Linked DNA regions of Styela clava. The protein of the gene in region 2 purifies or fractionates together with the protein of the main gene of each other region. This does not show direct contact. Links are inferred from orthologs where the notes say so. Each region holds a gene or a part of one and is shown on either strand. Other genes may lie near its edges.

Region 1 (7,046 bases), on a different chromosome or scaffold from region 2:
TCTGCTTAATAAAGACGAACCCATAGCATAACGACCATGGGCCCCAAATTATAATAATACATCAAATTTATTAATATAAATACATAAAAGATCAAAAAATACAGGATTGTATGCTAGAATTCAATGAAGCGAAGCGGTACAAAAGGATGTACAGGTCAGCAACTATTTGAGCTGAACTAAAAAGTAAATGTGCAATGGAAGAGAAGAACAGAAATCAGGATAGAATGCACCTCACAGTTTATTATAATGGGCGTTGAGGCAAGTTCATGATGATTGTTGTTGAGCACTTTCATCAGAATCTAATTCACTTGTGTCTCCATTTTGTTCAAATTGTCTACTTGAGTTTTCAAGTTCTCGAACTGAAAACATATCAATATATCAATTGCAATTTACAAAAATATTATGTGTTGGAAATTGCAAATTTTCACAAGAAATAATTAAGAATTCAACAACAGTCGGTCCCTTTCTAAGTGAGATACCCACAACCATTGAAACTGATCTCATTTTAAAAGTTTGCATAAGACCAACAGCGAATTTAATATATATACCGGTATATGCCTAACGGAAATACTCATTTTCAACACTTACTTTGTTGCTCTAATAGCCTGTTTTGCCGCTTTAAATCATCTATATCTTGTTGATGAGTTACATTTTTCCTTTTCATGAGTTGAATATAGTCTGTGGCTTTATTTAAAATTTGTGCTCTTGATGACTGTAAAACGAGAATATCGGTCAGAGACCAAAGACTTATCGATCGAAAGTTAGGGGATCCCCGAAACAGCACTCTTACTCCATAGTGACACCTTGTGTCCCATCACTAATTAATTAATAACTCGCTAATTATACAACATAATTCGCCCAAAATCAATAGGCTTCTGGTCGTGAGATATCGCTGGTATCTAACAGACATACAGACAGACAGACAAATACCTATCAACATACTTACCGATTAAAATCGATAAGTAACAAAGCTCATAAGTATTTGTCTAAAACTGATTATCCACATAATATTGATTACAATTTAGAAGTCACCTTTTCACCCTCTAATGATGGTACAGAATCACGAAGTCCATTAAAACTTTCTTTTATATGATCTCTTCTTTTTCTTTCTAAAGCATTATGATGAGCTCTTTTGTTGGACTTAATTGATAAAAAAAGTTTGTTATAGTGTACATTCACTGAATTACATTAAAGTGGCAACCAAACTTATTGCTCTTATCTAAAGACAATTTTCAAATCTATGGCTAATTCATAAAAACTGTTCAAAACGAATTGATATTTTTGTGAAAACCTATTGGAAATCGAATTCGATAAAAGGATCGAAATCGATAAAAGGATAATTGTCCATCAGCGAGTCGAGAAAGAGATATTAACAAAGCTAACTTTGACTCACCTACCAAAATAAAAAACGACGAATGTAAATAAAGGGTTGAAAACAGTGTGCAAGGTGCGGCGGTGTGGCTCATCGTGCTAAGCGTTTGGAATACGCTCGCCACCGCACCTCTAATTACTCTGCGTGGGTTCGCAGGTTCGAATCCCATGCGGGATGGTTATGTGCGAGAGGATTGCTGGACTCCTCGCCGCCGTTGGGTGGTTCCATGGAATGGTAACCGAACGAGGGGCCGTGGTTCGCCATATGGTTAAGCCGTCTTATCAGCTTTCCTCTCCCCCGGGATAAATATGTAAATCTTTTCTTATCTATCTTTTCTTAGTGTGCATGGAGAAAAAACAACTTATTGTCAATTAAACATAAACACAATATTTCTGAATAATTTGTATAGGGTGTCCAAAAAGTTTTGCCCTATTATAAAGTTTTTATAACCATTTTTTTTTTTAATTATAGAAATGATTTATAGTCAACCTGTATCTAATTGGATGTTATAAATGTTGGATTTTGTAGTCCCCATTTAGCATAAAACAAAATTTATTCAAATTTGCAATTGAGGTTGCTATGAAATCGGGCGAAACTTTTTGGACACCCTGTATGACAGAAATCAAAAAATGAACAGAGAGAAAGTATCTACATACAGGGATAATATTGTTGTTAGATAGATTGTTGTTTATTAAAGCTGAATCTGCTTTTTGTATATAAAATTGATAATACAGAGTACAGATTTCCCTTCAATTGAAATTAAGTATGCAAATATTGGGGCAAACACCATGGCAGCGAGAACATTGTGAAATAAGTTACATATTTAGGCAAACATTGCATATGAAATGTAACAGAGATGATTCATGTCAGCATGGGGGCATTTATTTGCTCTTCATTTTATCTGCATGTCAATAGTACAACCACCCTGTAACACACTTTCGTAACAAACAAAAAACATCTCTGTAAACTCACAGTTCCCATAGCTGGACTTTCACGATCTTCATCCTGAAACAAATTGTTGCTGTGTTTTATTTTTTGCAGTCAAAAGATATTTTTAAAACTTTAATTTTGAAATTGTTTGAAGTGAAGTATACAGTTAATGTCACAATTTCATTCTTCTATCATTTGAAAGCTTTGAGACTCTGCTGTGAGTCGGTACAGGGTAACCCAAAAACAGAACCTAGGTCATTTGGAACACATTCAGACATTCTAGAGAAAACAACTTTTGTGTAAAAATAATCCAGATTGCTGGAACTTTTAGATAAAATTATACACAAACAGAACTTCATTTTTGTAGAATGATCAAGAACTTTATGGATACTATTTTTTTTGTTACCCAAGGAGTTTGATTAGAAGCATTTCATCATGCAGAGCATATAATCTGTCAATCATACATTACAAATACTTTCTCATTACCTCACTTTCAACATCAATATCCACATCATTCATTTCATCATACGATTTTGTGTATTGGTGATCCAGCTTGCTAGTTGGTATTGCCAAAAGATGGAAATAATAATCCTGTTACCACAGATCCATGAAATAAAATACTAAAATGCAGCTTATGATCGGATCAGAATATGATATTAAGTATCGATGCTTTTGTGAAAGCAATCCAAATAAACAAGATATTAATAGCTTTTTATATGGATAAGTAAAAAAAGCGAGGTTACTTCAACACGCACTTGGCACAACAGAGATGCCATGGTCAAATTCATCCGCATAATGTTTTTTATTACAGCTCCTCTCCGACCATGACATTGATCTTTTTAACGAAATTACAAAACTGGTGTTCAACGATACGAATTATGAAAAGAAACAAAATTCTCAAAAACAAGTGAGCATAACTTTTTGATGGAACAATTTAAATTGCTGTTGATGAAAAGTGATGGACAACAGAGCATACTATGGCAGTATAGAGTATCCGTAATAAATAATATACACAATTCATATTATAATCAGGAAAATATAACAACTAAGTTTCCAAATTGAATAAAAAGAGGCTGACAGACCATTGAAAGATATTACAGTGGAAGGGACTCAATTTGGTATCTGATATCTTTTCCCACAAATTTGTGAACAAGCAGATTTTTGGATTGCTAAAATCCTAGAACTGCAGTAACGCAGCTGTAGCTGCTGTTTTTTCAGTAATATCAAAAAACCTAATTGCAATACACTAAATACATGAGACTCATTTGTTCACTCAAGATCTGAAGATTGCATTAGGAACACACTACAGACTGACAGAGTCTTGCATCAAACAACAATATTCCAGCAGTTCAATGATAAATACTGAAATATATATACCGTTACAACTATTACTCTTTTTCTATACACAGTCGGTTATTTTGAAGAAAACATAATTCAGGAGTACACCATACAAACTTTACTTGAAGTAGTTCGATACTAATAACTACAAAACTATCTAAAATGTCATTGAGTTCTGGAATTCAGAAAAGATATACTGGTACCCTATTCTCGCTTTTTAAGCGCATGATGTTATGACATTTGCAACTATTTTTCTGATGACAGTTCAGCAGTTAGGGTAATTCAGTCCGTAGATGTTCGTTTCAAAAAAAACTAGAATCAGTTTATTCAAACCACCTTGGTCACACAAAGCGAAATATCAGAAAAATTTCTCTTTTCTCTCAACTCAATTCTGTAATTCTGTTTTTTTACCTTTATTCAGATCTTCCCAGTAATAAACAATAGGAATAGAATAATTTGAACTATTTATACATTCAAAATCGAGTCGAGTAGCCTAGTTGGTTAAAATTAAAATAAGAATGCTAACAATCAGACAATGGTTTCACCTGTTCACCGACAGACCCGAGACGTTTGGAGGGGTTCGATTCTGCTGTAATAATTTACTACAGTACCGGTACTAGAATATGAACCCCTTCAACACAACAGCTTGTCTATATAAGATATTTCCCATGTATTGCGAAATTTAAGATGACGATAAAACGGGAACCAACACCGAGACTAAAGGAAAGCCAAACAAAGCAAACGACTTATGAAAACTACGGTATTCGCTGAAGTCTCACGCCTAATACACCTAATACACGTGCCCTCCTATTTCATTTTCACAACAACCTCACTTCTCTCACTTCTGTGTAACGGAGCGGTCTGATTGGTTGCGAATCAGTTAACTTCCGCGCTGTGAAAGCAGGTAGGGACAATAAAGAAACAATGTTTAAAGCGCGCCTCGGTATAAACTCGGTGGTCAACGCCTCACTATGGGTTACCGCTGGTCACTCGGTGGGTCACGTGTCCGACTGAGTTGGCCGGAGGCCGTGAGCTTTCTTGCAATTAATTTGGTATATAGTAAACCATGTCGATCATACCGCGAGCTGGACTAGTGGACTAGTCGGCTTGTAAAAATTATATGGGCGATATTATTGCCAAATACGTTTTAGTTAAAGCTATACGTGTTATACCAGTGCATTTACTTCTGTCGAAACTGGAATTGGTTCAAGCCGCAAGAATTGTCTTCCAACAACGCACTGCGTTGACGCAATGCGTTAACGCAGCAACGCACGATTAAGTTAAATAAACAAGGTTTTAAGGTGCGTCAACGCAATGGTGTGAACATATGTGAACGGGCCCTCATGCGCTGAACCCACGTGTTTTGTTTGCTTTTAATGGTCTTGTTTTGCAACTAATACTTCACTTTCGGGTTCGATTGATATCATTTATATGTACCTGTGCAAATACGAACATTGCGTTCATATTCAAGAAATTGATATTTGCTAATAAAGTGAAAGATCGAAGATTTTTATTTCTTTTCAAGTTTTTTTTCCTCGGTAATACACGCGATGTATACTTTTTTGCATATCTGTTAATCTTGCTAGCCATCCGTGCATGTATTTTATTCAACATATATTTATGCAAATACGGAATTGTATTGCAGTTTTTTTTTTTATTTTCTTCGTAACGTGCAGTAAAGAAGACTTCATTTTTTGGCGCTACCATACATGAAACGCAGAACTTGGCATGAAATTTCCGCGCTGTCAGGATACGTGAATATATACAGAATATGTCCAAATCAAGATGAGACCAAACAGGCTAAATGTAGATGAATGCTTTATTACTTTCTTTCGACATTGAAGGGAGGGAAAGCAGAGACAGTTCAGTTCATCAAAATTATTATGTTTGGGGGTCGCGGTACTAAAAGAGTAAATACCAAAGCAATCAAATATATGAACCGTTTTGATAGGTTTAAAGATGGAGTAACGAGGAACCCCTGAAGAAATGGAGAGCGCTTATCTGTTAATCTGATGGGCATGATGGAATTTAAATGGCGAGCTCATGTTTTCCCGTTATGACGCAATAAAGTATCTAAACACATGTTTTGCGTTTCTACTCGTCATAATGTTACCCAAACAGCTGATTACGGATAGCATCTTACCTGGTAACAGCGACAGGCGAAGCAACTTGATCGAGGGACAAATTATATTGCAAAATGGTACGGTGATTTTGATTATATTATTATGTATTTCAAATAATCTTCTTAATTGTCTAAAGTTCTGTATGGATTCACCCTTTTTGCAATGAAATTCCAACTGTTTTCAAAGTTTACGGAAGTTGTCTGAATGATTTCAGGTGCAAATACTGTTTACTATTTATAATTTTGAGCTGAATTAAGTGGGTCTTACTATTTAGCAATGTAGGTGAAATGATGCAGCTTATATAAAATGTGCATTATTATTAAACTATTATATTGTTTTTTTGCTAATGGAATCCGGTCATTTGCAAGACTCGACCAAGTCAAGTTCCAAAAACAATTTCAGACTAGAATTATTATCAATTATTTGGGTGCACAATTTAATGTATTGAGTTTTCATCCCATTTGGTTATATTTTTCTATCAATGAGGTTCAAAAGCGTAACTTTCTTTAGTGACGTAATGTCTTTATACTATTTTTGAGGTCGGAGGAGTGTCTATGAATACTGCTAGTATTGAACACCACTTGAGAGAAATAGGATTCAAGTTCAACGATTGGTATTCTTTTCTGGATCTTGATAATTTTGATTCGGACCATCTTGTTGAAAATCTAACTACTGAAGTAAGATTGCTGTTCGTTTTGTCAAAAATCCTTCTGTATATTGTATTGTTTTATAGCTTTTTGTTTAAAACTTATAAATCTGAAATGAGGAAAGTGACTTCGCACATCTGTAAGAATGCTGTAACATCATCTGTGAGGTGAACGCTAGTGCCGTTTAGTCGAATTATAGGCATCTACGAGTAAAATCCTACCGCTGAACATGGTTGTTGCACGAACACGAATAAGCTCGGCCTTGCACTACGATAAATAAGGTTGTCTAGCGTCACTTGCGTTGAGGATATTTACTACGTTTTTTTTAAAGTGTCTTCCCAATACTTCCAGGGAAATGACGATCGACCATTTCTTTGGAGTAATGGTGAATTTATTGAAAAGTGCAACAACGGGGAAATTTGCATCATAGGTAGGTTTGCAGTATTTTAATTTTTCAGCAGATGCGGTTAATAATTCCATTAGATGCGAGGATCTTTAAAATGATAAGCAGAGATGTGGGAAACACAAATAAATGAACAGACTGCCCACATTTAACTAAAATAGAGAAATAGCGGCTCCTGATGTACTATAGCCCTTTGCTTGGATATACAATAATCCTCACGAAAAAGAGGCAAC
Region 2 (7,259 bases):
CCAAAATAGACACATGCGTGCTACGGTCGATATAGGTGGTAGTGAGCACATGGTATAATGAGACGCCCAACTGGTGGCTGAATCTGGATGAGAGAATTTTAAAATACTTCATATAAATCTGCCTTCTAGATTTTCGACATCTGTGTTGTGTAAATAAATAAGTATGACAAATAATTTTTAATGTATGCTGAGAGTAGCGTTTTTAGGCTATGACTCTGAAAGCTATTCCAACGGCAGATTTCTGTTACTCCACCCATGTGGCTTATTGTTCATACATATGCCACCATTTCTCATAGCTGAAAACTTGATAATCCTCACAAAACCAATTTGCATATGAAAAGCTACTGTTTTATTAAGAAAATTAGTAACATGATATAACAGATAGTTAAAAATCCAAACAGAAGTCAGGCTCATACTGTCTGTCCTTAGCAAATATTTAAGCCCTCTTGGATGTAACACAAATATATACAAAATGTTAAATTGCCTTCAAAATAAAATGTTATATGGCTAATCCCTTAGGCTTGATATTTAAACAAGCAGACAGACAGTACCACTTACAAAGTTTAAAGTAAAATTAAAGAAAAAAACGCAGTCAGTAGGCCAATGACACCACTGACATTCTAACAATCAAATTTAATTGGAGGCTTGTTTACATATGGAATGAAGTGTTCGTTGCACTAATGCTTGTCCGGTCTATGAATATACAAACCATTCCATTCACCATTGACATTAAGCAATGATCACAACAGCAATGAGATATAAATATGAAATATCTCAACATGCAAAAAGAATTGTAGGAAGCATTCGGTCCAAGAGAAAAAATATGCTAAAATGTGGCACCCAAAGCGATGATCAGGAAAGTTATTCTGAAACATTATTTTTGGAGCAATTTATTTCCATGCCAGGCTCCTAATCATATGCCATAGGTTTTAACACTTTGACACCAGAAGTATTTAATTTTTGTCAAAACGAAATAAAATGAAATGATATCTAAAATCAGAGAATGGAACCAAGTGTCAATTCACTCATGTTTTCATTCTATACTGTGTTTATTTTTTCGGTTTGAATTCTGTAAAAGTGATGCTACTGTCTCTTACTGTGATGGTATAAGTATCCGCAGAGCTTCTGTCTATTCCTTTTATATGGCATCTGTAAAAATGCAATTTAATCAGACAAAAAAACATTTCAAATATTCATTATTGAAAGAGATTAACAATACGCCAATTTCTTGCCTTGATGATAAATGAATACAAACCTTGCTTTTTTCTTTCTCTTTCGTTTCTTATATTCTGATGGCTCTGGAGACTTGTCAGACTCTTCTTTCAATTTTTTAGCAGGATGGACAAGAGTAGCTTGAGGCACCTGAGATAAAGTACTTGGTAAATTCTAATTACCGTACATTTAATATTTAAGCTTTAGTATGGTACAGAATTAGGATATTTGTTTTTCTGCAGGTTAGCTATAACAAGGAGGCAAGCGCCAAGTGGAAAGACTAGGAATAAGAGAGTTCCAAGTGGCAATTGATGATTTATTAAAAGGACCTGTAGGTGAGATTATACCGCCCATAGAGATGTCAGAAAGAGGTTATGATCGATTCAACATTGCCAGAGAAAGATCTAAGAGGAAAAGAACATCAGAGGTTCTTGGGTACATCTTTTAGCACAGAATTTTTGATGACAAAGGGGAACCTTACAATAAGCTAAGTAAAGTCGCATTTCGCGGCATGACTAAAATAAATTGGATATTTGGAATTTGTTGTTTGATATTGGAAATTCTTCATTTCAGGAATAAGAATTTGAAAGTTTCCTTTGAAACTAGGTATTTTGGACACACCAAAAGTGGCATTGAATGGGTAAAGTAAAACAGGCGTCAATATGTCACGATATATTGATAAAATATGAATAATAAAAAATAAAATGACTTTGTTATTTGGGGACATTCTAAAAAAGGCAAGAGAGAGATATAGAAACAGTTACTCTATCTCACATGTGACATATTTTATAATATACCTCATATTAAATTTCAGTTTTGGCAATGTCTGTCTTAGGTCCCATAAAAAATGATTAAAACTATTTAATTTAACATTTGGCAAGCAATTTTATATCTTACTTGGGTTATAGTAACTAATCTTGTTGCCTCTTGCTGAGCAACTATTTGCTGATTCAATCTTGGTTTTCTTGTTGATGTTCCTGCAAATGTCATGTTGTATTTAGCCCAAGATAATTTACATTGACATAAGCTCTGATACATTCCATGTAGAACTACTCAGAGCAAGATTTTGATTAAAAAATATCTTAAAAGTCATCAATTAAATGAAATGCATGTCAGCATGTATATAAATACCCTTCCGCACATCACACACAGAGCATTTAAATGCTTCGGGAGAGTTTTTGTAGGTACAGACGCTACAATCCCAAAAATCATCTTGCAATGCCTTCGCCAGCCTTTTTCTAAAATGAATTGAAAATAAATTTTGAAACAGTAATAGTTACATAGTTAGTTAAACTACTGTAATGAGGACCAAAAGAGGTAAGATTTTGAGATAGTTTTTAGACTACATGATAGCATTAGAATGTCAGTGAACGAATTTGTAAAGTACCGGTACAATTTACTTAAAGATCAGAAGATTTGACCATCAAATTAAACACGGTAGTTTATAATGAAAATAGAGACTTAAAAACAAAAATCGGTTTGGCAGTAGATAAACTGGCCACATCAGTTTTAACAAACAACATAACATGTTAGGCAGAGGTTTAAAATGACGAGAGTCAGCGAGTAAGGTATTCCTAACTCTTAGCACGATAAACCATAGCCTACCGTACCGGTACCAATCTAGAATACGAACTACAGTAATACCTTGTTTGTGAACTTGCTTTTCTGTCGACCATTGATTTCGCGCAGCTCGAATTATTATAAATCAAGTAAGAAGAGAAGCCACCGCGAAACGGCTACACACGCATTACGCACTCGCAAAGATAGAGATTTTGCTGTGTTATTTATTGTTGTTCCATTCAAGCCGCCCTGGTGGAAGGAGTCTGGTAATAATGCACTCGGTAACAAAATATAAAGAAAATTTCGTTCGCCTCGTGTATAAGGTACCGATAGGATGAAAGGATAGGATTTACATATTTATCCCGGGGGAAAGGAAAGCCGATAAGACGGCTTATCCATATGGCGAACCACGGCCTCTCCAGTGTACTTGATTATATTTGGATAATATATAGTACCATAATCATATAGACCCCTGGATTGTAGTGGCGGAACCCTAGGATTTCGCGTAACGCTGGTTGAAAATCACTGATGTAAGCGTTTCAAGGAAAATGCATTTCACATTTGAGTAACCGTTGGTCTGCGATAACGATTCACATTAATAATCTCCGCTTCTAAAAAGTTCAATTTCATAGACTTAACTTCTTGCTTTCATGTGCTATTATGCTTTCTGAGCTAGAATTTTGATGGCAAATCTACGTGGTACCGGCAATAATATTTATAATTGAAACGTGGTATATGGAATGGACACAGGAAAAGATCTGATTCAATGTACTTGATGGAAAAAAGAATGGGAAGGGCTGTTATCTACTTATCTGGGAATGTGATATCTTTAGAAAAAGTTCGTGATAATCATAAAGAAACAAAAGTTATCTGAACTGAAGATCAGACAAAATTTTCACAACTGGATTCTCAAGCGTTCGACGAAAAGAGATGTTAGATTACTAAGGATATCAGCCGACCTGTCTGCATTCTGGAGATTTTGGTTTGTGGAACTGGTTAAAAAAAGCTAATTTCATGGATGACCATCATTGGAAAATGCTCAAGATTATAAATTTTTATATGAAAACTTTCTAAATTCGAACCATTTTTTTAAACAAAGAACAACGCCCGAAACTAGTTTTCGAGTTTTTACATTTGTTGGTTTACTTTTTAAGCTTTGTTTGTTTACTAAGAATAGGAGAAACAGCAGCTAATGTTAATCACTTAGTCTTAGATGTCATTATTAGGATTCGCATTTCGGCACATGTACCGACACATAACCCTCATTCTACTTATTTCGCAATCTTCACCACTATTACTCACCAGTATATATATATATAAAACTGTAAAAGTAAGCTTAGCCCGTGAATATTACTTTCTCGAGTTTTAATATGCTGTATATGATTTTTAGTTAAATTGTCGTGATGTGTTTCTTTCACTTGTGTGAGTGTGGGTGAATTCGGTCTGGTTACAGCGTTCGCTATAAACCAGGGTTGTTCAACCTTCTTGGCCGAAGGGCCACACGTAGTTTACTAATAATTGCGCGGGCCTCTTAACATAGCATTATGTTCTAGTTTTGCTACACTGACTATAGGTTGATAAAAAAACAAATGATACCCGCACACCAAATTCGCCAACTGAGCAGTAACCTTGATGTCAGTGCTTTCGTCAAGCGCCAAGTAATGCGATGAAAAATTTCCCGCCTTTGCAATTAAAGTTTCCGCTATACAATTCTCAAGCTCTTCGACATGAAGAGGTATGGTCTGTTTTGACAGGCTATTTTTGCAAACACTTCATTTATTTCCGGACGTAAATCATTGACAACCCGAACAATAGGCCTGCATAGGCTTACCATACGTCCCGCTTTAGGCGGGACAGTCCCGCTTTCTAGCGTCTTGTCCCGCCGTCCCGACAAGTCAGCCAAAAGTTCCGCTTTGGCGTTCAGACATCCAGCATAATACAATACAACAATACAATTTTATTTTGATCTTTCGTCTACAGCCTGATAACACAGAACACAAAATTAAAACAAACAGACAATGGCGACGAAAAGATCGGGGAAAAGGGCAATTTTATTTTGATCTTTCGTCTACAACCTGATAACACAGAACACAAAATAAAAACACAGACAATGGTGACGAAAAGATCGGTGAAATGGGCAAAACCTAGAGGAAGATTTATAGCGAACGCTGTAAGCGTTTGTGCCCATTTACCCACACATTTACCTCACACAAGTGGAAAACACATCATTGTAATTTTACTGAAAACATTAATAAACAGCATGTACATGAACACCCGAGAGTATAATTCACGGGCAAAGCTTACTTGTAAAATTGTAAATAAATTTTGATGAGCAAAAGTGGTGAAAACAATTAGAAGTCGTGTGACGGTGCCTGTGCCGAAATAATACACGAACATGTTCTCGTTACTGTTGTTGCTGTGTAACGCAACGCTAGCCTACTATAATTACTGAAGGTGTGAATGTTTTGTTTGTTTCGTTGTTTCCCGCTAACATTGTTAGCGAACGTATCACATGTAAATGCAAATCTAATTGGTCCTGTTCGGACGTTCACGTGAATGTAACATTGAACAACGTCTTTTTGAAGGTGTTATCTACAGAAAAGCATGCTTGGGCGAATAAATAAATTCTCAATGCTTGAAAACGACAGACTGTTTCTTTATTCCTTTTGCTGTACATGCAAAAAATTTGAATTTGGATAATTTGTATCATTAGCGTCTGTTCCTTTCTATTTTTCGAACTGAACCCGATATTTGGACAGAGAGTATGCGCATGAACTCTCGATGACAATATGGTCAATGAAGAGAGCCGGGATGGCTCTAAATGCAGGCCTATGTAGTCAAATCGGAAACTGTAAAGTTACAGGATCACAGCTAAGGGGTCGTGTCTTTGGTGGCGTCCCGCTTTGAAGTCGAAAAAATATGGTGACCCTAGGCCTACATAATATACATTCCTTAACGAATTCTCAATCTGAGAATGGCTTCGATTGTTTTGCGATAACGTCATAGAAGGTAGTAAAAGACTGAGTGTGTAAATCGTTTGTATTACCGTAAATATTTACTACTACTAAATGTCCAACTCCGCTCGCCGTATAATAAACAAACAAAGGTGATGTTGCACCTCCAAGTGGCGGGCGTTACGGTTGGTTTTGTTCAGACAAGATGCTTAACGACGACGACGCTCCTGCATCACAGCTCGAAAACTAGCCCTGTTCATTGATGACTGATCGAAATATTTGCTGAGGGACGAAGAAATTTGATAAAAATGAACAAATAATTGTGAAAATGAAGACACAGTCCGTCTTGCAAATGACCAGGATGATGTGACAACTTCCTTGTCCAAAGAAAGCAAGGCATCAAAAATGCGATGCATTGCAAAAAATGTCAGTCAGATGTAGGTAAAGTGGTGATGAAAATGAATACTTTGCACAATATATATAAAAAAAACGCTTAGTAGCACAGCATTTTGGTCTCACTCCATCTCAAGTTTTGTAGCTTACACAGTAGTTTTTTCTCCACTTGACCTATAATCAGGGCTGCCACAACGTCCTTATTTTTAGAATTTGTCCTTATTTTGAAGGTTTTTGTTTTAGGAAATATTTGTCCTTATTTCTAAGAAACATCTTTATTTTGACGTCCTGATTTTTAACCTCATAAATGAATATACCAGTAAATAAAACTTTAAATTTAGTTTAGATTTGGAACTTCATAAGAGATAAAATGAGTAAACGTAAAAAATTTGCCGTGATGATTATGAGAAAGAATTCAACGGCGTCAAACGAAACGAAGAACCAGTGATTTGCGCACTGCAGCTTCTGTGAATGTGACAACAATCTGGAATGCATAGGTAGAGCAGCAATTTCTGTTAATAATGCAACCCAGAAACACAGGGCTCTGCTCAAGAAATTAATCAAACCAATCTATAAATAACTTTTTTAAGAGTCAATGATTATACAAAAGCTATCTTAACACATGCAAGCAGCTGAAATTTATTTCCGTCATCACATTATTGAACATCCGACACTTGATATAAAAGAAAAATATTTTCAAATCATTCATGAGCGAATACCTTTCAAACCACAACACTACTTGAGGAAGTATTCAAAAAATTTGAGCAAATGTATACGCAAAGTACTGCAGCCAAAATAATAACAACAAGATGGACAATAGGACTCATGAAATACGAAAACAATTGAAGAAACACAGCAGCTAGAACGACGATTAAGATGTATGTGCTTACAGTCAAGTTTCCGTACTCCTGAAGTATGCGTACCAAGAAACGAGGACACTGGAACGTAGTATGTGTATCACGTTAGGGTTAGGCCAAAATTTTATTCCTTTTTCCTTATTTTAGTTCTATTACGAGTTCAGGGCCTAACCAAGTGAGTTTTGTAGTATTTGTACCTAAAAGTTTGGCCTATGGTGGCCCATCGTTGTCACGTGTAAAATTTAAAAAAAAATGAAAAAAATAAAATGAAAAGGCGAAAATA

Evidence for each region. The genes of interacting proteins can lie anywhere in the genome.
Region 1: the proteins of YY1-associated factor 2-like (region 2) and protein max-like purify together in Homo sapiens (affinity purification with mass spectrometry; 3 studies listed by BioGRID and IntAct, with this or other methods). This does not show direct contact. The link is inferred for Styela clava from reciprocal best matches to the Homo sapiens genes YAF2 and MAX.

The regions. Positions count from the first base shown.
Region 1 is NC_135255.1:8,057,744-8,064,789, reverse strand, and holds protein max-like, read right to left. Parts: upstream 3,023-7,046; 5' UTR 2,822-3,022; coding exon 2,789-2,821; intron 2,378-2,788; coding exon 2,345-2,377; intron 1,141-2,344; coding exon 1,033-1,140; intron 713-1,032; coding exon 589-712; intron 360-588; coding exon 265-359; 3' UTR 49-264; downstream 1-48. Other genes in the region: uncharacterized protein LOC120330631, read left to right, coding at 5,838-5,840, 6,303-6,440, 6,762-6,840. UniProt on the Homo sapiens protein: Transcription regulator. Forms a sequence-specific DNA-binding protein complex with MYC or MAD which recognizes the core sequence 5'-CAC[GA]TG-3'. The MYC:MAX complex is a transcriptional activator, whereas the MAD:MAX complex is a repressor.
Region 2 is NC_135253.1:13,466,311-13,473,569, reverse strand, and holds YY1-associated factor 2-like, read right to left. Parts: upstream 3,018-7,259; 5' UTR 2,889-3,017; coding exon 2,857-2,888; intron 2,451-2,856; coding exon 2,344-2,450; intron 2,190-2,343; coding exon 2,110-2,189; intron 1,363-2,109; coding exon 1,256-1,362; intron 1,150-1,255; coding exon 1,050-1,149; 3' UTR 327-1,049; downstream 1-326. UniProt on the Homo sapiens protein: Binds to MYC and inhibits MYC-mediated transactivation. Also binds to MYCN and enhances MYCN-dependent transcriptional activation. Increases calpain 2-mediated proteolysis of YY1 in vitro.